Linked DNA regions of Macaca fascicularis. The protein of the gene in region 1 purifies or fractionates together with the protein of each later gene. This does not show direct contact. Links are inferred from orthologs where the notes say so. Each region holds a gene or a part of one and is shown in the gene's direction. Other genes may lie near its edges.

Region 1 (5,709 bases):
ACCCACCACGCCCCGCCCAATCTTCACTGATTTATAACAAAGTTACACAGGGCAGTTCTTCCACAGTTAATAGATGAAGCAAAAGGCTGGGGTTAGGGAACTGCTAAGCCATGGGAAATCCACTAGTCACAGTATGGTATGAGGAACGGTGTCCCTACATTTTTAGCTTCAAAACTGCAAAGATATCTCTAGCAGAGAAAGACCATTTCTTCCTCTTTTAACAAAGAGTTCGCCAAGCTTTCCCAATTCTTTGTGAAACCCTTCAGCAAAGTCAGACTTCCTCCTAGGTTTTCCCAGTGTGGCTAGTGCAGGGCAATTACCTCACAAGCTCAAGTCATATGTTAAAGAGCTCTATGAACTGCTACATTCAATTACCCCTACACCAGTACTGTGAAAACGAAACAATTCAAGAAATTCTTTGTTCCCATTTATTTATTTATTTTTTTTTGAGAGTCTTACTGTCGCCCAGGCTGGAGTGCAGTAGTGAAGCCTCGGCTCACTGCAACCTCCACCTCCCAGGTTCCAGAGATTCTCCCATCTCAGCCTCCCAAAGAGCTGGGATTACAGGCGTGTGCCACCATGCTCGGCTAGCTTTTTTTTTTTTTTTTTTTTGTATTTTGTAGTAGAGACAGGGTTTCACCATGTTGGCCAGACTGGTCTCGAACTCCTGACCTCAAGTCCGCCCGCCTCGGCCTCCCAAAGTGCTGGGATTACAGGCATGAGCAACTGCACCCGGCCCCATTATTACACTTTTCCTTTATCATTTTAAAAATCTTTACAGGATCTCGTTACGTTGTCCAGCTTAGTCTTGAACTCCTGGGCTCAAGCGATCCTCCCAAAGTCCTGGGATTACAGGTCTGTGCCACTGCTCCCAGCCTAGGAAATTCTTAACCTACAGCCCACTTACCAATGTCAAAGAAAGTCAAGATACTGTATGCACATTTTTTTCTTTTCTTTGAGACGGAGCGCGATATCGGCTCACTGCAACCTCTGCCTCCAGGGTTCAAGAGATCGTCCTGCCTCGGCCTCAGGAGTAGCTGGGACTATAGGCATGCGCCACCACGCCGGGCTATTTTTTTGTATTTTAGTAGAGACAGGGTTTCACCATGTTGGCCAGGATGGTCTCCGACTCGTGATCCGCCCCGCTCGGCCTCCCAAAGTGCTGGGATTACAGGCATCAGCCACCGCATCCGGCCCACATTTTCTTTATATGCATTTTGCTAAGAAAAGGCATTCATGAGTTTCTTCAGGAGTTCAGAACTAAAACAGGTCAAGAACCACGATCCTTTATGCCTGTACACACATTCTTTCTGGTTCGAGGTTGAGCCTTTACAGGGTGAAGCATTTCCATTCTGTCAAGGATGGGGTGTCTAAGTGTAGGATTCCCTTAGCTCACCCCTAAGCAAGTCAGACTTAGTACAGGTCTCAAGCCCTATATAAGCAGGCCTAGGGGACTCCTTGGAGAGAAAGCTGCTTGTAGGGACAACGGCAGTCAGCAGAGCTTGAGCTTATCAAGCCACTAACCAGCTGTACGACCTTGGACAAGTTCCATACCCTCTAGGCTCCTGAACCCATTCCTTACCAAGCCGCTAACCGGCTGTGTGACTTTGGGCAAGTTCCATACCCTCTCTGGGCTTCAGTTTCCACATCTACACATTTCAAGTGGAGCCACATGGCCTTACGGATCCGTCCCAGCCAAGAGCAGGGTACCAAGCCGACTTAGCCATTAAAGCAGCTTCCTGCGGGCGCGGCGCAGGACTTCAACGGTCCCCCCTCCCCCGCTCACGCCCGCGAAAGCCTCGCTCAACACGCCCCTCGGAGCGACGGCGCTTACCCAACCGCAGCCCCAGCGGTCGAACCCAGCTCCGCCTCTTCCCGGGGGCGTCCCATCGTGCCCCGCGCCGGGCTCCGAGGGCAGCCGGGCGCCTCCCGCCTTCCCGCGCCCCGACCCCGAACTCCTCTCCCCAGTTCTCCCAGGCACCCTATCCTATCAACGCCCACTATCCCAGCCAATCGCGCAGGCTCCGAGTCGTGCCTTCGGTCCACCCTCCTCGGCGCTCAGCCGGTCTGAGCTCAAGGCCTTTACCAAGCCCAACCCAATCAGCGGCGGGCTCTCTCCGGCCCCATCCCAATCTCCCTCCCCTCGGCCAATTAGGGCGCTCCATTCCCCTGCCCGCCCAGCCACCCCGGGCCTTGAAACCAGCAGGCGAATGGGCGAAAGGCGGCCTTTCGACGCTGAGCGCCTGGCCAATTGGGGATTCCGCGTGGCCAGAACAGCGGCCAATCGCCGTGGAGCGCGGCGCCGCCGCGGCGAGGTCCGGCCCGAATATCCCTCCGCCTTCCTCCCGCCCTCGCTCCCTCCCTGCGTGCCGCCTCTCACTCACAGCTTCTCTTCCTTCTTTCTCCCTCCGCCTTCCGAGCACCAGCGCGCTCTGAGCTGCCCCCGGGGTCCCTCCCCCGCTGCCAGCAGCCCATTCGGAGGGAGGAAGTAAGAGAAGAAGAGACTAAGGGGAGCTGGAGCGACTACCCAGAAAGAGCCGGTGAATGGGCTTGTGGTGACCCCCGCCCCCCACCCCACCCTCCCTTCCCACCCGACCCCCAACCCCCATCCCCAGTTCGAGCCGCCGCCCGAAAGGCCGGGCCGTCGTCTTAGGAGGAGTCGCCGCCGCCGCCACCTCCGCCATGGAGCTGATCACCATCCTCGAGAAGACCGTGTCTCCCGGTAGGACGCAGGAGCCGGGGGTCGGGCTGAGGTGATTGGGGTGGGGGAGGGGAGGCCCGGCCCCTCTGACCCCGCTCCGTCTCCCACTTTCCTCCCCCCAGATCGGCTGGAGCTGGAAGCGGCGCAGAAGTTCCTGGAGCGTGCGGCCGTGGAGAACCTGGTGCGTGCTACCCCGCCGCGCCCATCCCGCCGCGTCCCCATCCCCTGCGTGCGGGGCCTTCCCGCCCTCCGGGAGGCCCAGGCCTCGGGAACCTACCCCGCCCCATCCCGTCCCCCTCCCCCCCAACCCGGTCCAACCTAACCCCGCCATCGGGAAGCCGGTGGGTGTGTCCCGCCCCGGGCCCTGCGACTGGCCAATGGCGGGGCGCGCCGGGCTGCCTGTCGCCCAATCATTGCGCGGCCTGAGGGCGGCGGTGCAGCGGGAGGGAGAAAGAGGGAGGGAAGGGAAGTTAGGTTGCGCGGCGCTGCGTGTTCAGCAGAGGTGGGGGTGGGGGAGTCAGGCCTAGGGGCCATGTGGAAGCTCTGGGCCCGGTTGCCCTCCCTGTTTGACCCCGGCCGGCTTATCCTTCCTGTCCCGTGGCCCCTGTGGCTCTCCCCACCTATTTCCTAGAGCTCTGCCCTTTCCTCGCTACCTTGGTGTGTGCTCATGGCCAGGCCTGGCACCCGACTGCCTCTTAACCCATTTCCACTAATATTTTTCCCTCTTCTGCCCGGTTATTCCTCTCGGGGTATTTTCTTTTTCTTCCTTTTTTTTTTTTTCCCTTTCCTTCTGACCTGGATGAATAGAAACCTAATCACTAGGGATCTGCACCCAGACAACAGTGTGAGGCTCATCTTTGAGATCGGGCCTGTTTCCTGATGAAATCACAGAGGAAAGTTACTCGTTTTTCATATTTTAAAATTTAAGGGGTCCGGAGAAAATGAAGCTAAGTCCGCTAGAGACTGGTCCTTTGTATAAAAATGTAGGATGGATTGGTTGAAACAGCCTAGATGCCAGTTAAGTTTCTCTTTGGTGTCCATCTCCTATTGGGAGATGGGGTCAGAGGGAAGGATTGGATGATGCTTGACATCTTTGAGAAAGGTAATAGGAAATAAGTCTGAATAACATTGTAACCATATGTGTTTCTTTGTGTTATATAGGCAAAATGTCAACATCAACAAAGTGACAAGGCTTATTTTATACAGGCTGCCTTTGAATGATTTTTTTTTTGTTCTTCATATGTGCCAATTTTTACAACTAACCTGTTTATCCTTTCCTAGAATAGATTTTTCCACTAGTATAGGCTGATAATTCCATTTAGGGTATTATTCCTGTTTCTGCTTTTGCTAATTTTGCAAGAAGCTTTTTATCTTATTCCTAACATTCTTAACATTCTTTAGTGGTACATAATTAATAAAACTTTTAAGAATTATCTTCTGCTGTGATTGCAGAACTTGTTAGCAGTAAGAAAAATGTATCTGCTTTTGGCTTTTCCTGCTAACTTTGCTGTTTGGGCACGGTTTTTTTGCTGGAGAGAGAGGTGTGTGTGTTAAATTTTTAAACAAAGGGAGTAGTTTTTGAGGCCTGTGGATTACAAAAGGTTACAAAAGAACATGCTTTTCAGGGATCCACTGTATTCCTCAACTAAAGTCCAAATGTATAGGAGCAAGTAATTGTTGATTATTAGATACAAAGTTATTTTTCTTGAACAGCTTGCCTGAACATTTTTTTCTTTCACTTTTTCCCTATTTCTAAATATCTTACCAATTTTCCTTGTAAATCCGCTTTTTTCGTTGTTCCCTTTTTGCTGAGTGCCCACAAATAAAACGGAGGATGAGGCTCCTAAGTTTGTTTAGGCTTATCTATATTTCCCTCTCTCATAAAAGATCACCTCCTTCCATGGGATGAAAAGCTACCCTGCTGCTGCCATGAGATGGAAACTTGGATCATTCTTTTGGGACCAAGGTTTTTGAAATTTAGATAAACAGTTTTATTTTCTACCCGCATCGTAACAGCCATTCATTCAAGTACCAGACATTATTAAGAATTCTTGGGACACCTCAGTATACACAGAAGACTAACTACTACCATACTCTAAAACCTTGCAATTCAGGGGGTATAACGTGACAATTTGGGTACTAGGAATGATTTTGATAGGAAAATCTGCAATTCCTCATTAAGTGCTAGGCTCCATGAGAAAAGTGGAAGACTTCCTGTTATATACTAAGTAACATTTTTGTAGAAGTCTTGTAGTAGGTATTTTGTGGTTTCCTGAGATGCTTATGATATACCAAAAAAAAATTAGACATTAGTTCCCCCCCCACCTCACCCCTCCTCCGGTGGTTCAGTGCTCCATAAATTATTCTCAGTTGTGGAAATTCCTAAGATAATTTTATTTACAAATTTATCTTCCCTTAACAGCCCACTTTCCTTGTGGAACTGTCCAGAGTGCTGGCAAATCCAGGAAATAGTCAGGTTGCCAGAGTTGCAGCTGGTCTACAAATCAAGAACTCTTTGACATCTAAAGATCCAGATATCAAGGCACAATATCAGCAGAGGTGGCTTGCTATTGATGCTAATGCTCGACGAGAAGTCAAGAACTATGTGAGTAACACTCATCTGTTTGGTTATATTACCTAGAGAACAAGAAATTGCTTTCTCAGATCTTTTGCTATTTGCATGGGATAGAGCTGACAGTGTGATAGGTTTCTGGGACTTGAACTTCACCTAAAGATAAAAATTGTCTTTGTCTTAAATCTTTCTCAACACAGCTTGTCCATTCCCATTGATGGATTGGAATTCTTTTTAGATGATTGAGGTAGGCTGCAGCAGCTTGGGAAACTTTAATTGTGTGTCATAATTTGTAAAAATCTGTTTGACAAATGGGAGTAGTGTATAAATTGGTGCTGTATACCCACATCACTTAGGGAATTTGTTAATACGTATTTCCCAGCTCTCCAGAAACTCCGATTTGGTACTTCTGGAGTACAGCTCAGGCACTTTTTTG
Region 2 (5,242 bases), on another chromosome or scaffold:
CACCTCGCCCAGCTAATTTTTGTATTTTTAGTAGAGACGGGGTTTCACCATGTTGGCCAGGATGGTCTCGATCTCTTGGACTCATGATCCACCTGCCTCAGCCTCTCAACGTGCTGGGATTACAGGTGTGAGCCACTGGGCTCCACAGGCGTCAGAAAATTTCTGAATGCCTACTTGAAGCATATGAACTGTAATCGTAGGAATGCTGTAACTAATTCTTTGTGCTCCTTATGTGCTATTTCTACAACCACCTTGGCAGAGCCTACCATGTGAAAATGCTCTGTTAACTTACACATATTTCTTTTTCCTTTCTTTTTTTTTTTTTTTTTTTAAAGAGATGGAGTCTCACTCTATTGCCCAGGCTGGAGTGCAGTGGTGCGATCTTGGCTCACTGCAAGCTCCGCTTCCCGGGTTCATGCCATTCTCCTACCTCAACCTCCGAAGTTGCTGGAACTACAGGCACCCGCCACTACGCCCGGCCAACTTTTTGTATTTTTAGTAGAGACGGGATTTCACCATGTTAGCCAGGATGGTCTCAATCTCCTGACCTCGCAATCCGTCCGCCTAGACCTCCCAAAGTGCTGGGATTACAGGCGTGAGCCACCATGCCCGGTCACATATTTCTTAATGAGAACTTTTTTGATATCCTTCATTATTTCTGTGTCTTTGGATTTAGGTAACAAAGATTCAAAGGTACCTTCAAAAAGAAAGAAATCTGTCTACACGGATGAGTCATCCAAACGTGGAAAAAATAAAAGAACTGCAATCACTACTCCTACTCCAAGTAAGTTTTGTAGGCAAAGCCATAATAAGTAATGGTTGCCCCACTTCAAACTGATGTTGGACTGGAACAGCTAAAAGCATAGAGGCTGGAACCAGTTTACATTCTAGTTCTCTCATCTTTTAGGCTTAAGATCTTGGGGAAATTACTCATCTTCAATAAACTCACTTCCTCAGTGTAAAGTGGAAATAGTTATACTATAGTACCTATTTCTTTTTTTTTTTCTTTTTTTTTTTTTGAGACAGGGTCTTGCTCTCTCGCCTAGGCTAGAGTGCAGTGGCGTGATCTTGGCTCACTGCAACCTCTGCCTCCCAGGTTCAAGTGATTCTCCTGCCTCAGCCTCCCGAGTAGCTGGGACTACAGGTGTGCTCCACCACGACCAGCTGATTTTTGTATTTTCAGAAGAGACGGGGCTTCACCATGTTGGCCAGCATGGTCTCGATCTCTTGACCTCGTGATCTGCCTGCCTCAGCCTCCCAAAGTGCTGAGATTCCAGGTGTGAGCCACCCTGCCTGGCCTATAGTACCTATTTCATCAGGTTGATAGATACATAAATTGAGAATACTTTTTCCACTACTGCTTCCCTATCATGGCAAATAGCATGCAGCAAGGATTCAATAAACATCTGATGAATGAATGTACGAAGTACTTGGTACAATGCCCACCTTCTAATAAGTTTTTCATAAGTCTAAATGACTCTGTTTTTGGACATGTAATTCTTCTTCTCTCTTGTATTGTTGGAACATTGCTTGGCACATAGAATGTTGATTATTATATTTATAGTAGTTACAATGCTGCTCATCTTATATTCAAAATTCAGTAAATGTTCATATACTTAATCAGAACAGGATACAGCAGGGGTCAGCAAACTGCTGCCTCCCTTGGCCTGTCTTATATCCTTTGAGCTAATAATGGTTTTTATATTTTTTAAAGAATTTAAAAACAAGAAGAATGGCCAGGCATGGTTCTCACACCTGTAATCCCAGCACGTTGGGAGGTGCAGGGGGGTGGATCACCTGAAGTCGGGAGTTTGAGAACAGACTGGCCAGCATGGTAAAACCCCGTCTCTACTAAAAATACAAAAAAATTAGCTGGATATGGTGGCAAGTGCCTTTAACCCCAGCTACTCAGAAAACTGAGGCAGGAGAATCGCTTGAACCCAGGAGGCGGAGGTTGCAGTAAGCCAAGATCACGCCATTGCACTCTAGCCTGGGTAACAGAGCAAGACTCCATCTCAAAAAAAATAAATAAAAACAAGAAGAATATGAGACAGAGACCATATCACATGTTGCCATAAGGCCTAAAATACTTTTTTTGTTTGTTTTCTTTTTGTTTTTGAGATGAAGGTTTGCTCTTATTGCCCAGGCTGGATACCTCCCGGGTTCAAGCGATTCTCCTGCTTCAGTGTCCTGAGTAGCTGGGATTACAGGCATGTGCCACCACACCCGGCTAATTTTTGTATTTTTAGTAGACAGGGTTTCTCCATGTTGTTCAGGCTGGTCTCGAGCTCCCGACCTCAGGTGATCTGCCCACCTTGGCCTCCCAAAGTTCTGGAATTACAGTTGGGAGCCACCATGCCCAGCCAAGCCTTAAATACTTTTATCTAGCCCTTTATAGAATAAGTTTATCAGTCGTTGACATACAGCATTATAAAATATCAAATTCATGATTAAATAAAGACCACTTGTGACTAATTGGTAAGGGAGAAGATAAATCTTCTACTGTCATCCTCTGGACTAAACCAAGATGTCAATTTAGTGAAATTTGTCAATGAGGAGATGGTGAATGTTTGATAGTTTATAAGACGAATGTGCTTTGCCCCTGAGTTTCCAAAAACTAAGTATTTTGAAATTAATGTTTTAGCAAAAATTATATTGAAGTTGAATATCAGGGATGCAAAAAAGAGAATAAGTGTTAACGGAAAAACACAGAGAAGGTAAATGGATTTTGTTTTGTTACTAACTTTTATATTGGGGGAACATTCTAGACTTTAAGAAGCTTCATGAAGCTCATTTTAAGGAAATGGAGTCCATCGATCAATATATTGAGAGAAAAAAGAAACATTTTGAAGAACGCAATTCCATGAATGATCTGAAGGTATGTAGATAAAATTATGTTCTTAATGGGACTAAACTGTTTGATTATAATTTTGAAACTATATAACACCATGGTTACAACAACTGGCTATCACTCTACCAGTAGATTTGTTTGAGTTTAATATATCTTTATCTGGCCGGGCGCGGTGGCTCAAGCCTGTAATCCCAGCACTTTGGGAGGCCGAGGCGGGCGGATCACAAGGTCAGGAGATCGAGACCACAGTGAAACCCCGTCTCTACTAAAAATACAAAAAATTAGCCGGGCGCGGTGGCGGGCGCCTGTAGTCCCAGCTACTCAGGAGGCTGAGGCAGGAGAATGGCGGGAACCCGGGAGGCGGAGCTTGCAGTGAGCCGAGATCGCGCCACTGCACTCCAGCCTGGGCAACAGCGTGAGACTCCGTCTCAAAAAAAAAATATATATATATATATATCTTTATCTAAAACTTGCTTTCCCCTACTCTGAGAATTTTCAAAATCCTCTGGATAAAACTGAATCCATGGCCAAGCGCAGTGTCTCATGCCTGCAATCCTAGCATTTTGGGAGGCCAAGGCAGGTGGATTACCTCAGATCAGGAGTTCAAGGCCAGCCTGGCCAACATGGTGAAACCCTGTCTCTACAAAAAAATACAAAAAATTAGCAGGGGTTGGCACACGCCTGTAATCCCAGCTACTCAGGAGGCTGAGGCAGGAGAATCACTTGAACCAGGAGGCCAAGGTTACAGTGAGCCAAGATCATGCCACTGTGCTCCAGCCTGGGTGACAGAGTGAGACTCCGTCTGAAAAAACAGAAAACAGTGAATCCTGACTATGAGAAACTATTTCCAAAATGGCAATGTCATTCTACTTTCCATATTCAGATGTTTTGCCTATTACTTTCATTGAGGATGAACCAACTTATGGCTGAAGCCGTCTTCTTTCCCTTGTCCCTTATGTAAAGAAAAATGGGTGATTAATAGTGGCAAAGCTGAAGGGTTCCTGTGGTAACAGCTCCCTCTAGGGCTTTCAGTCCAGGTCCCACAGGACTCAAAGCCTCCTCAAAGTAAGAGAAGGTGATAAAGTCAACTCTGAGACTGAGTTAGCAGAGTAGTGAGTTAATAACATTCTAGCAAGTTGATGTTATTGGTATCTGGTGTTAAGGCAGTGCCAAAGGGAGGGCAAGAAACACATTTTAAAATATTGATTGATTTATGTATTTTTCTTATAAAGTCAGGGTCTCCCTGTGATGCCCAGGCTCTCCTTGAATGCCTAGGCTCAAGTGATCCTCCCACCTCAGCCTCCCAAAGTGCTGGGATTACAGGTGTGAGCCACCAGATTATATTTATTTCTATTCGCTGTATTTAATTCTTAACCCCATGTTTATGTTACATAACTTCCCTATTTCTTAAAAATAATTTAAGGCCTATTCTCAAAATAATTTAAGTTTATGGTATTAAATATAAAATAGTATAGTCAATTTAAAAGCACTGTTAGTGGGTACAGTATTGATTACCATCAGTCTCTCAGCTGAGTTTAAGTTTTCTGGCAGCTAGGGCCAAGAGGAAAACTCACTGGGTGATAAGTTGTAAATAATTTTATTTAAGTACCTAAGCTTCTTGGTGAGAAGCTTCATTGAAATAATAAACATTCATTTTAACAATGTAAAACCACTGTTACAATTTTTTTTTCTTTTTTTTTTTGAGACAGAGTTTTGCTCTTGTTGCCCAGGCTGGAGGGCAATGGTACGGTCTCAGCTCACTGCAACCACTTCTGCCTTCCTAATTCAAGCGATTCTCCTGCCTTAGCCTCCCCAGTAGCTGAGATTACGGGCACCCGCCACCACACCCAGCTAATTTTTATATTTTTAGTAGAGATGGGATTTCATTATGTTTGGCCAGGCTGGTCTCGAACTCCTGACCTTAGGTGATCAACCCACCTCCCAAAGTGCTGGTATTACAGGCATGAGCCACCGCTCCCATCCTCATTGTTACCACATTTGAAGGCCCTGTTTATCAAACTTTTTTTTTTTTTTTTTTTGAGATGCAGTCTCACTCTGTCACCCAGGCTGGAGTGCAGTGGTGCCATCTTGGCTAAACCTCTGCCTCCCGGGTGCAACAGATTATTTTGCCTCAGCCTACCAAGTAGTTGGGATTACGGGTGCCCACCACCACACCCGGCTAATATTTGTATTTGTAGTTTTATTTATTTATTTTTTTAGACAGAATCTCATTGTGTTGCCCAGGCTGGAATGCAGTGACACAATCTCGGCTCACTGCAAACTCTGCCTCCTGGATTCAAGTGATTCTCCCACCTCAGCCTCCCAAGTACCTGGGATTACAGGCGACCATTACCACGCCCAGCCAATTTTTGTTTGTTAGTTTGTTTTGAC
Region 3 (5,242 bases), on another chromosome or scaffold:
CCGTGTTGGCTAGGCTGGTCTTTGTTTTACTCCTGACCTCAGGTGATCCATCCGCCTCAACCTCCCAAAGTGCTGGGATTACAGGTGTTGAGCCACTGCGCCTGGCCATAATTACCTATATTTCTATTTATTCCAATATAAATGTCTATTTATAAGTAGCAGTGCTGCTGCATTACGTATATTATAAGATATGCGTAAGGATTTCTGAAAGAATAAACAAATAAGCATGAATGGAAATTCTAATTTTTTTTTTCCCACCCACCAGAAGATTGTCTTGGTGACCCTTAGGAACTGCTCCCCCATTCCTGGGATGGTGGCTGGGCCGTGACTTGGCTTGGGCACTTGGTGTCTGGCCTGGGGCTGGTGGCATCAGGGCTGCCACACCTCCAGTTCATTCATTTGCATTCCTTGTCAGGTTCCTAAGTAAAGCTCCTGGAGAACTTGGCTTTGGACAAGGACTCCCCACACTTACGCTGAATTGGGCTGCTTCTCTGGTTTACGGAAGCAGTTAAACAAATGGCTAGGTGCGCCTCAATTCGGGTTTTTCTCTGGGCACCTCTGGTGCTAGCAGGGTTTACCCAGGCTGGACTGGAGTTCTCCGGGGACCCACTTTGGCCCCCATGTGCCTCTGTGGTCGTTGCTGGGGCACTGCGTGTCGTGATGAGGATCCACTTGGTCGTATTTATGAGTCTCAGGGAGGTGGCTTCCCCCTGACCCCAAAGGCTCCTGGAGCAAGAGCCATCCAGGGCCAGCATCTCTAGGTGATGTTGATAGATGGGAAATGCAGCTGAGTGGGAGGAGGAATTCTAGACTTTGAGCCTAGATGGGCTGGAGTGAAGGATGGATGTGCTGGGTGTGGGGATGGGCACAGCTGGGTGGGGAGTCTGGGGTCCGGAATTCTCCAGAGCCTCTGTGCCTCCACTTCGCAGGAGCCAGCTCCCGTGCTGTCCTCCCCACCTCCTGCAGACGTCTCCACCTTCCTGGCTTTTCCCTCTCCAGAGAAGCTGCTGCGCCTGGGGCCCAAGAGCTCCATGTTGATAGCCCAGCAGGTAATAACCACACCTTGCCCCCCACCCTGTACTTGCCGTGGCTTCTGGAGCTGTTAGAGAAAAGGGACGAACAGCTCAGGGACCTGGGGGTGCGACACTGTCAGCTGGGGGCAGGGAGGCTTGGCCTGCCACTGTTAGAACACACACAAATGTCCAGGGTATTTATAAGCCTCCAGGGGTTGCAAATGTTCCCTCCTCACTCGGCCTACAGAAAGTGCAGCCCGCCAGTTCCCATGCTGACTGGGGTTAGGGAATTTCCTCAGGACTCTTGCATGTGCCCACCCCCTCCTGGGCTTCTCTCTGCATGTTCTGTCAGCCCAGCTGCTTGGAGAACAGCTCTGTTGCCCGGGGCCCCTCTGGGAGTGGCGTGCCTATTGCAGGATGGGTGAGAATAGCTCTGTTGCCCGGGGCCCCTCTGGGAGTGGCGTGCCTGTTGCAGGATGGCGCCCTCACTCCAGCCTAACTTGTTGGCTGGCTCATTCATTCATTCAGAGGTGATCTTTGGGGCATCCATTTTCTGTCAGGTACTGTATTTGGGCATGATTTTATTTAACCCTCTTGACAACTTGAAATGTAGACTTTGCTGCCCTTATTTTACAGATAAGAAAACAGAGGCTCGGAGGTATAGAGAAATAAAATGGGCGCACTCTCAGCGTTGGCTTAACATTTCGGCCAATTGCTTTGTTAGGTTTTGCCTGTGTTCTTTGTTTCTTTTAACATGATAAATAAGATGATGTAAGCCTTTTTGTGGCCTATCACTTTGGCTTAACACCATTCATCACTTTCTTGGGCCCCTAAAACTCTTCTCATGATTTTTATTCCAATGCATGGATGTAGCACTTAAAATCCAGGCACTATTTCTGGACGTTTTCCCTGGCCCACTTTTCCCTGTTGTCAGTGAGGTTGAGGTAAACTTCTCTGCATGTGAGTATCATCTACATCCTAGATTATTTCTTCAAGATGGGGACCACTGGGTCCCTGAAATGATCTTTTTGTGTGTGTGAGACACTGTTTTGCTTTGTCACTCTGGCTGGAGTCCAGTGGTGCAGTCGTGGCTCATTGCAACCTCAACCTCCTGAGCTCAAGCAGTCCTCCTGCCTCAGCCTCCCAAGTAGCTGAGACTATAGGCACACACCACCACCCTTGGCTAGTTTTTTTCCTTTTTGTTGACATGGGGTCTTGCTATGTTGCCCAGGCTGGTCTCAAACTTTTGGCCTCAAGCCATTCTCCCACCTCAGCCTCCCAAAGTGCTGGGGTTACAGGCATGAGCCACTGCACCTGGCTGGGATGATTTTTCATCCTTGTTCATTCACTCATTCATTCCCTCTCTATGCTGCATATTTGCTTGCTGCAGGCCAAGTCCAAGCCAGACTCTGAAGGGACAGCATGGGGTAAGGCAGGACCTGTCCTTGCCTGCCAGGGGCTGGTGTACTGCCTGGGCCTCTCCTAGCTAGTGGCAGAGCCCAGGGACATCTCCCCCATGTGCCACAGGCCAACCATTGTCTCTTATGTCCTCAGACTGACACGTCTGACCCCGAGAAGGTGGTCTCTGCCTTCCTAAAGGTGTCATCTGTGTTCAAGGACGAAGCTACTGTGAGGACGGCAGTGCAGGATGCAGTAGGTAATGTGGGCTGGGTGAGGCCGGGGTGCCCGCTGGCCCTTGATGCTCGTGAGGCCCCGGGCCCTTTGTGGTCGCCGTCACTCGTCAGCCCCAGTGCTGTCATGGGAACTGCTCTTTGAGACCCTGTGCTGCTCCTCCATCAGGGTCCTGCCATGGTCCTGCCGTGGAGCCAGGTGGGTGCTCGTCTCCCTGTTTTTCACCACTGAGAAACTGAGGCCTTTCTCAAATCCACACAGCCATATAGAGTTAGAACCCAGAGCCCGCTCTAGGAAGGCCAGATAGTCACATCCGCAAGCCCGATGGACGCAGGTCTGTCGGGAGGAGGGATGCTGAGAGCTGAGCCCTTGTGCGTACCTCAGAGCCTCTGTGCTCATGTCCATTCTACCTGGAGCTTCCCTGCACAGAGGACACCTTTCCCTGTAACATTATGGGGCCTTCTCGGAGCACCAGCCCACGTCCCTCCTGCCCTATGGCAACCCTGTCCCCACCCTGTCTGTTTCCTCCATTCCAGCACCTGTCACCTTCCACCCTGTGCTTGACTGAGGCAGAGGGGAGGAAGGGCCCTGAGGCAAGGGGCGCGGCTCCTGGAAAAGGATAGAAAGGGGTGGAAGGACATGTGGTGCCTCTTCCTGGCCTCTACTGTGGGTGGCGTTAAAGTGGGGAGGGCAGCTCAGTGGGAAGGGAGGCTTGGAAGGAGGTGGGGCCAGACACAAGCCTGCTCCCTGAGGGCCTGCCCGGGGGCATTTATGGGAACAAGTTGCCCTAGTTCTGTTGCCCAGGAAGCCTAGCACAGTCCCCTCACATCCCCTCCACCCACCCCACCAAAATAACCTGAATCCTCCCCCAGTGGTGGCCTGCCTCAGGAAATCTCCACTCCCACGGTGTGAGGTGGGCACAGTGGCTGTCATCCCCACACCCATGTTACACCTGAGGCCAGGATGGGGAAGGGCCAGAGTGTCACAGCTGGTAGATGGACTGAGCCCATCCCCTGATGCCAACTGCCCCTCCCTCTGGTTCCTGTGTCTCTGCCATCCCTCTTGTGTTCGCCTCTTCGTCAGGGCAAGGAGGCAGGCGAGCCTGTGTGTGCGCGGTGTGGGGGGAGCCTTGGGTGCCTTGGCACAGCGCTCTGCCGTAGCCAGCAGCCTGCCCCTGCTACTTCTGCCCTACAGATGCCCTGATGAAGAAGGCTTTCAGCTCCTCGTCCTTCAACTCCAGCGCCTTCCTCACCAGGCTCCTCGCACACATGGGTCTACTCAAGGTGAGGCCGGAAGGAGCAGCAGGCGCGGGAGGGAGGTGGGCGAGGTCTGCACAGAAGCTGCCCCAGCCATGCCTGCCAGCCTCCCTCACCTCGAGTCCTGAGCCGTCTCACCCACTGGGCCCTGAGGCCTGGGTCCGCCCCAGCAGCCTCGATCTTCATGATGAGGTTCCGGCTGGACTCAGTTGTGAGCACCGCCCGCAGAGTCTGGATGGTGGAGTCCAGGGGCCGCCCAGGTGAACTTGACGCTCACCCCGCCTTTCGCTGTGTTCCCCTCACAGAGTGAAGATAAGGTCAAGGCCATTGCCAACCTGTACGGCCCCCTGATGGCACTGAACCACATGGTGCAGCAGGACTATTTCCCCAAGGCCCTTGCACCCCTGCTGCTGGCATTCATAACCAAGTGAGTGTGGCCCTGTTGTCCTTCTGCCGCGGCCTGTCCTCTCAGGCTTCTCTGGCCAGGTCCAAAGGCCTCCAGTCCCAGGAGGTCCAGCCCAGCCAGCCTGCTGGCCCTGCTCGGGTGCACAAGAGGCCCTCATGCTTCCTGGGCTCTCAGCATCTGTGTTGGAGTCTCACCACCCTCGGGAGGCCCGCTCCCCTCTGCCTAGCTGAGGACAGTAGGGCTCAGGGGCAGTGAGAGAGGAGACATGTAACGCCCCCATTTTGCCGATGAGGAAAGGAGCACCGGGTTGGTTAAAGAGTTTCCCTTGGTCACACACTAGGAAGAGGCTGGGCCAGTGTCCAGACCCACGTCTGTGAGCAAGGTGCTATGCGTGGTGACATCTCTGGAGGGGCTTTTTGTCCATGCTCACAGTAGTGCAGGCCGAAGGGGCCCAGTCACACTAGGCCCTGCAGCCCCAGGCCCTCTCCTGGGGACACACATTGCCCCGGGAGCCGCCAAAATGCCCAGCAATGTAGGAACCTTGGCCTTGTTCTGGATGGTCCTGGGGAGTCCTGGGGCATTGATGGGGTGATGGGCACAGTCAAGTAACAGAGCCAAGGCCCCACCAGGGGTGGGGAGGCTTGCCCCGTACACCCTCATGGGGCCCTGTGTGGCCCCTGGCCAACCTGTGGCCTTCATCAGGCCTCAGTCTCCCCATTTGCCCAACCGGAGGGTTAGGTGAAATTGTCTCCAAGCACCCTGACCAGCCACACTTCCAGTCAGTCGGCGCCATCCGGGGAAGTGGGGCAGGTAGAGGAGCAAGAAAGTCCCTTTGCTGGGGGAGCCCAGAGCCCACCGGCCGAGGCAGGATGCTTGGTGCATGTGGGGAGGCGGGGCTGGTGGAGTGTGAGCAGCCCTGTCCACCCCAGCGTCTG
Region 4 (4,437 bases), on another chromosome or scaffold:
TGCCTCAGCCTCCCCACGTGCCACTGCACCTGGCTAATTTTTGTATTTTTAGTAGAGACAGAGTTTCACCACATTGGTCAGGCTGGGCTTTTTTTCAGTTCTCCTTCTTTTCAACACATATCCCCAAGTCTTTCTTCAAAATATCCTATTTTTCTTCCCTACTGCCTAGTTCTACCTATATTGTTGTGATGGTTCTGCAATAGGAAATGGCTCCTGTATTTTTGTTATAATGTGTGCCAGTTCCACCTGCTATCTTCATCAGTTACTCTGTAGCTGATCTAACTGGGGCCTATGGTAAAACAAAAGGTTATAACCTTGGCCAGACATTTAATGTCTTCCAGCTGTTCTTCATCAGCATCTTCTGGGTACTTTTAATATTACAAGTATGAGATTTGTTTACAGAAGACTCCTTTTATACCAAAGTTAAGGATAAGAATTTAACCAAGAAATTTAACTACTTTCAAAAAGTATAGCATAAGATGGTCTATATTTTTGTCTTAGCATTTGATATGTGGAACTTTTCATATTTTTCAAGGTTTTGTCCATTTCTAAGACCCTCGAACGTGAGAATATTCTTTAAAAAGTTAATTTTTTTTGTTGTTTTTCAGTACTATTTGATAAAAGTCTCACTACTGAATGCCACCTTCTTGATTCGGTAAGTTTTCCAACTTAATTTGACAAGTCCCTTTATACTCTAGATTTGTTTTATAAAATGAATATTGCTTTTCTATTTGTGTACAAGGCCTAAAATGTATATCTTGTCATTGTTTTGCTCACTCACTATTTTTCACAGAATGAAGAAAAAATTTGGTGTTTATATACTTTAAAATGTAATATGTTTTAATATTAAACCCTGAAGATATGTTTCTCTATGTGGTTTTTCTATCAAATTTGCTCTGATAAACTGGATACTTGAATGTCTGAATATATTTCTAGGTGATTCAAGAAAAATATAAGGCAGTTTCTGCCCTTCTGGGGAAATCATGTCTATCCCACCTTCAGTCGTCATTGGTTATTTATGTCCTGCTATTTTAAGTGACTACTTCCCTGCTTTTACTTCTGGTGACCTCTTGCCTCTAAATCTAGTTCAGACAGCCCTTTTGTGAAGCATTCTGTAAAAGCTCTTATCTCTCCCATGTTAATTTATATATAGCTACAGATGCACATAGGCATACAGTGTTTACATTTCATCTCTTATTCAGGGTATAATATGAATGCATTCCAAAAATATAACTTCAGGAATCTAATTCCTTATTAACTGTAAATTCCACATTAAGTAGAGCTGTCCGATTCATACCTTTGATATGGCACGAATTAAAAGTGCTCTCTTTCCTGCTGTTTATATATAGCATTGGTTTCAGCCCCATCCCAGACGTTTTTTTGTTTTGTTGTTTGCAGACAGTTTCACTCTTGCACCCAGGCTGGAGTGCAATGGTGTGATCTTGGCTCACTGCAACCTCTGCCTCCCGGGTTCAAGCAGTTCTCCTGCCTCAGCCTCCCGAGTAGCTGGGATTACAGGTGTCTGCTACCGTGCCTGGCTAATTTTTGTATTTTTTAGTAGAGATGCGGGGTTTCACCATGTTGGCCAGGCTTGTCTTGAACTCTTGACCTCAGGTGAGCCACCGTGCCTGGCCGATATTTTTATTTCAAAGATCTGGAGTAGGGATTTGTCATTTTTTTCTTCATCAGTGATTCTTATGGTTTACACCTCTGGTTTACAGCCTTACCTTGGAATTTTCCAGGACTAACTACTACAGTAGATCAGAAAATGGCCTTGGTTTTATTCTTCTTTAATCTCAGAATGTAAGAAATTCATTCATAAAGCAAATATAGGATCAAACAACCACAGTTTTTGTTAACTTCATGAAACCTGGCAAATACTTAGCTTCCATAAGCCATGAATTCCTTAAAGACCCTTGTGTATCTTGGCTTTCATTATTTTTCAAAGCTGCCTTTTTTGTGGTCAGGCCCTGGGCTGTCCTGTGTCTCAGGAGCAGAATAAAATGTGTTACTGTGACCCGCATACCATTCTTTCTTGGTTTTAGCCTTCTTTAATCATACACTGAGACCTAGAGGATCAGGGCTTTTAGAATAAGGCCAACTTATGTAAACCTGATTTAACCCTGTTCCCAGATCAAACTCTGAATGATTGATTCTGAGAATATATGTTGTTATAAGTAAATCCAGAGATTACCAAATCATAATATTTTAATATATTAGTAATGTGATTAAAAGTACATCACAATTATGTTTTCTCATTGATAGATCTTAGTACCTTATCATTTAGTCTGATTTTTTTCACTTCTGTAAATATTAATATTTAGATGTCTATTTTAGACCCAAATTATTGCTTGCCCCAGTAGCATAATTTGAACTTGAAGCAGGGCTTGAGGGAGTAAAAAGATCTCAGCAGGATCACACAGTAGTAAAAGGGCTATTAAGTGCTATTATATGGTTTAGGATTTATGGAATCTGTGTAAGTGGCTTAAGATATGGCCTCAGTTTTATTCATTCTGCATACACTGGTTGAGTCCATTTACATATTATTCACATTTTATACATATATTCTGAATATACCTTTCCAATTTAAAAATAACTAATATACATTTGAAATAAGATCTGCTAGAAAGTAGCATAATCGTTGTTTATAATTTTATTGTTATATAGGGAAAATATTTACATGTTTCTTTTTGTTTGTTTTTGAGATGGGATCTTGCTATGTTGCTCGGGCTGGTCTTGAAGTCCTGGGTTCAAGTGATCCTACCACCTCAGCCTCCCGAGTAGCTGGGACTACAGGTGTGCACCACCGCACCCGGTTTATTTATGTTATTTATTAATTTACTATAGCAATGTTAAAGAATTACTTGGTGAAACTCGTGATGGATACTTTACTGACTTCTCTGGATTTGTTCTCCAGCCAGGTCTACAGTGCAGTAATCCATTTACTCAGCTGGAGAGGAGACATCAAGAGCATGCCAGACACATTTCTTTTGGTGGTAACTTGATTACTTTTTCACCTCTACAAGGAGAATTTTGAATTTAAAAATAAATCCATTTTCCTTCACATTATCAATGCTTATATATTCTTTAGACTATTGAAATTTTGGAGAAAATGTATTTGTGTTCACTTCTATAGTATCATATAATGTTTTAATACTCTGTTTATCAAAGTGTATTTTAGATATACTCTTTCTCAAGGGAAGTGGGGATATTTTGTACATTTTCAACACAGAATAAAAAATATACTGTGCCTTGCCTCTCTTGTTTGAAAGGAATAAGCTTAAGGCTAAGTATACTTAGCGCTTATAAACATTCTTTAGTTTAATTGAAATATTAACCTGTGACAGAAGTATTTGCATCTTTTTACACTTTATTCTTAGTTTGAAATCCTAAATTTGTTGACATTGAACAGCTTTGGGTATTACATTTTTCCATAGTATTCTGAGTTTCTTTACATGAGCTTTCTGGATTCCGAAGTCAGTTTGACATGCTGCGGTTTCAAACAGTTCAATCATTAGAGGTACCCATTAAGTCCTTGCCTTTTTGTTTTCATTTTCCCATTGGCATGCCCAAGAGACATTGAGGAGATGCTTTTTACTTTTGAAAAAAATCGTGTCAATCATATAACATATCAGTCATATGAACATTTAAAAAACTGGTACAAAGAAACCCAAGATTTACAGTTAATACAAAGCAATATGTGACACAACAATATTTTGCTCTCAAAAATAAAGCAGATCAGAATAAGACAATGTCAGTAAATGTGATCTTTAATAAGATGTATCACTGAGTTGTTTAGAAAGCTTTCAGCTGTTCATGGCCCTGGGCCATTAGAAAACCCTAGTTTATGTATATTTCTTTTTCCTACATGGCTTGTTTGAATTACTCAAACAAGGAATGGACTCGAACTGGCTTAACAGTAAGGAAATTTATTATTTCACAAGTTATCAAAGTGATTCCAGGTACTTTATAATCAATAGCTCAGTGATCACATCAAGGTCCAACTTTCTGTTCCTAGTTCATTCTGTTATCCTTGATGTCGGCTTCTCCTCTACGGCTGGGTCTTTTTGGGGTCATAAGATGGCTGCTATTGGCAGTTAGAGTTATGTTCTTCCCTTTGGCCTGATTAGACCAACTAATGCCACATCCCCATCTGCAGATCAGTAAGCCAGCAGGGGATTGACTTAAATGAATCAGAATTCCCTGTTGAATCTGGGATCACACCTGAATAAAACCTTGGCTCTTAGGAAACAAGGAATAGATATTGGGTAGGCAACCATCAGTGTCCCCTACTAGATAACGTGCTTGGCTATTGGAGTCTAGAATTATGAGGTATTAGGAAAATTTTTAGAGACAAAATGAAAGAAAACTGTTTTGGACAGAGCAAGAGTTCTTAATGCAGTGTATTGTCAGAGGAAAAAAAAAGTTCTTTTCTAC

Evidence for each region.
Region 2: the proteins of KPNB1 (region 1) and NUSAP1 purify together in Homo sapiens (affinity purification with mass spectrometry; 3 studies listed by BioGRID and IntAct, counting the BioPlex papers as one, with this or other methods). This does not show direct contact. The link is inferred for Macaca fascicularis from reciprocal best matches to the Homo sapiens genes KPNB1 and NUSAP1.
Region 3: the proteins of KPNB1 (region 1) and RANGAP1 purify together in Homo sapiens (affinity purification with mass spectrometry; 3 studies listed by BioGRID and IntAct, with this or other methods). This does not show direct contact. The link is inferred for Macaca fascicularis from reciprocal best matches to the Homo sapiens genes KPNB1 and RANGAP1.
Region 4: the proteins of KPNB1 (region 1) and DLGAP5 purify together in Homo sapiens (affinity purification with mass spectrometry; 4 studies listed by BioGRID and IntAct, with this or other methods). This does not show direct contact. The link is inferred for Macaca fascicularis from reciprocal best matches to the Homo sapiens genes KPNB1 and DLGAP5.

Annotation. Positions count from the first base shown.
Region 1 is NC_088390.1:59,088,368-59,094,076, reverse strand, and holds the start of KPNB1 (importin subunit beta-1), read left to right. Parts: upstream 1-2,342; 5' UTR 2,343-2,682; coding exon 2,683-2,722; intron 2,723-2,823; coding exon 2,824-2,882; intron 2,883-5,123; coding exon 5,124-5,306; intron 5,307-5,709.
Region 2 is NC_088381.1:17,907,259-17,912,500, forward strand, and holds part of NUSAP1 (nucleolar and spindle-associated protein 1), read left to right. Parts: intron 1-676; coding exon 677-784; intron 785-2,768; coding exon 2,769-2,878; intron 2,879-5,242. UniProt on the Homo sapiens protein: Microtubule-associated protein with the capacity to bundle and stabilize microtubules. May associate with chromosomes and promote the organization of mitotic spindle microtubules around them.
Region 3 is NC_088384.1:10,360,315-10,365,556, forward strand, and holds part of RANGAP1 (ran GTPase-activating protein 1), read left to right. Parts: intron 1-929; coding exon 930-1,049; intron 1,050-2,567; coding exon 2,568-2,670; exon of another isoform or gene 2,671-2,843; intron 2,844-3,839; coding exon 3,840-3,928; intron 3,929-4,206; coding exon 4,207-4,328; intron 4,329-5,242. UniProt on the Homo sapiens protein: GTPase activator for RAN. Converts cytoplasmic GTP-bound RAN to GDP-bound RAN, which is essential for RAN-mediated nuclear import and export. Mediates dissociation of cargo from nuclear export complexes containing XPO1, RAN and RANBP2 after nuclear export.
Region 4 is NC_088381.1:123,008,225-123,012,661, reverse strand, and holds the end of DLGAP5 (disks large-associated protein 5), read left to right. Parts: intron 1-608; coding exon 609-655; intron 656-2,705; coding exon of another isoform or gene 2,706-2,796; intron 2,797-2,917; coding exon 2,918-3,037; 3' UTR 3,038-3,250; downstream 3,251-4,437. UniProt on the Homo sapiens protein: Potential cell cycle regulator that may play a role in carcinogenesis of cancer cells. Mitotic phosphoprotein regulated by the ubiquitin-proteasome pathway.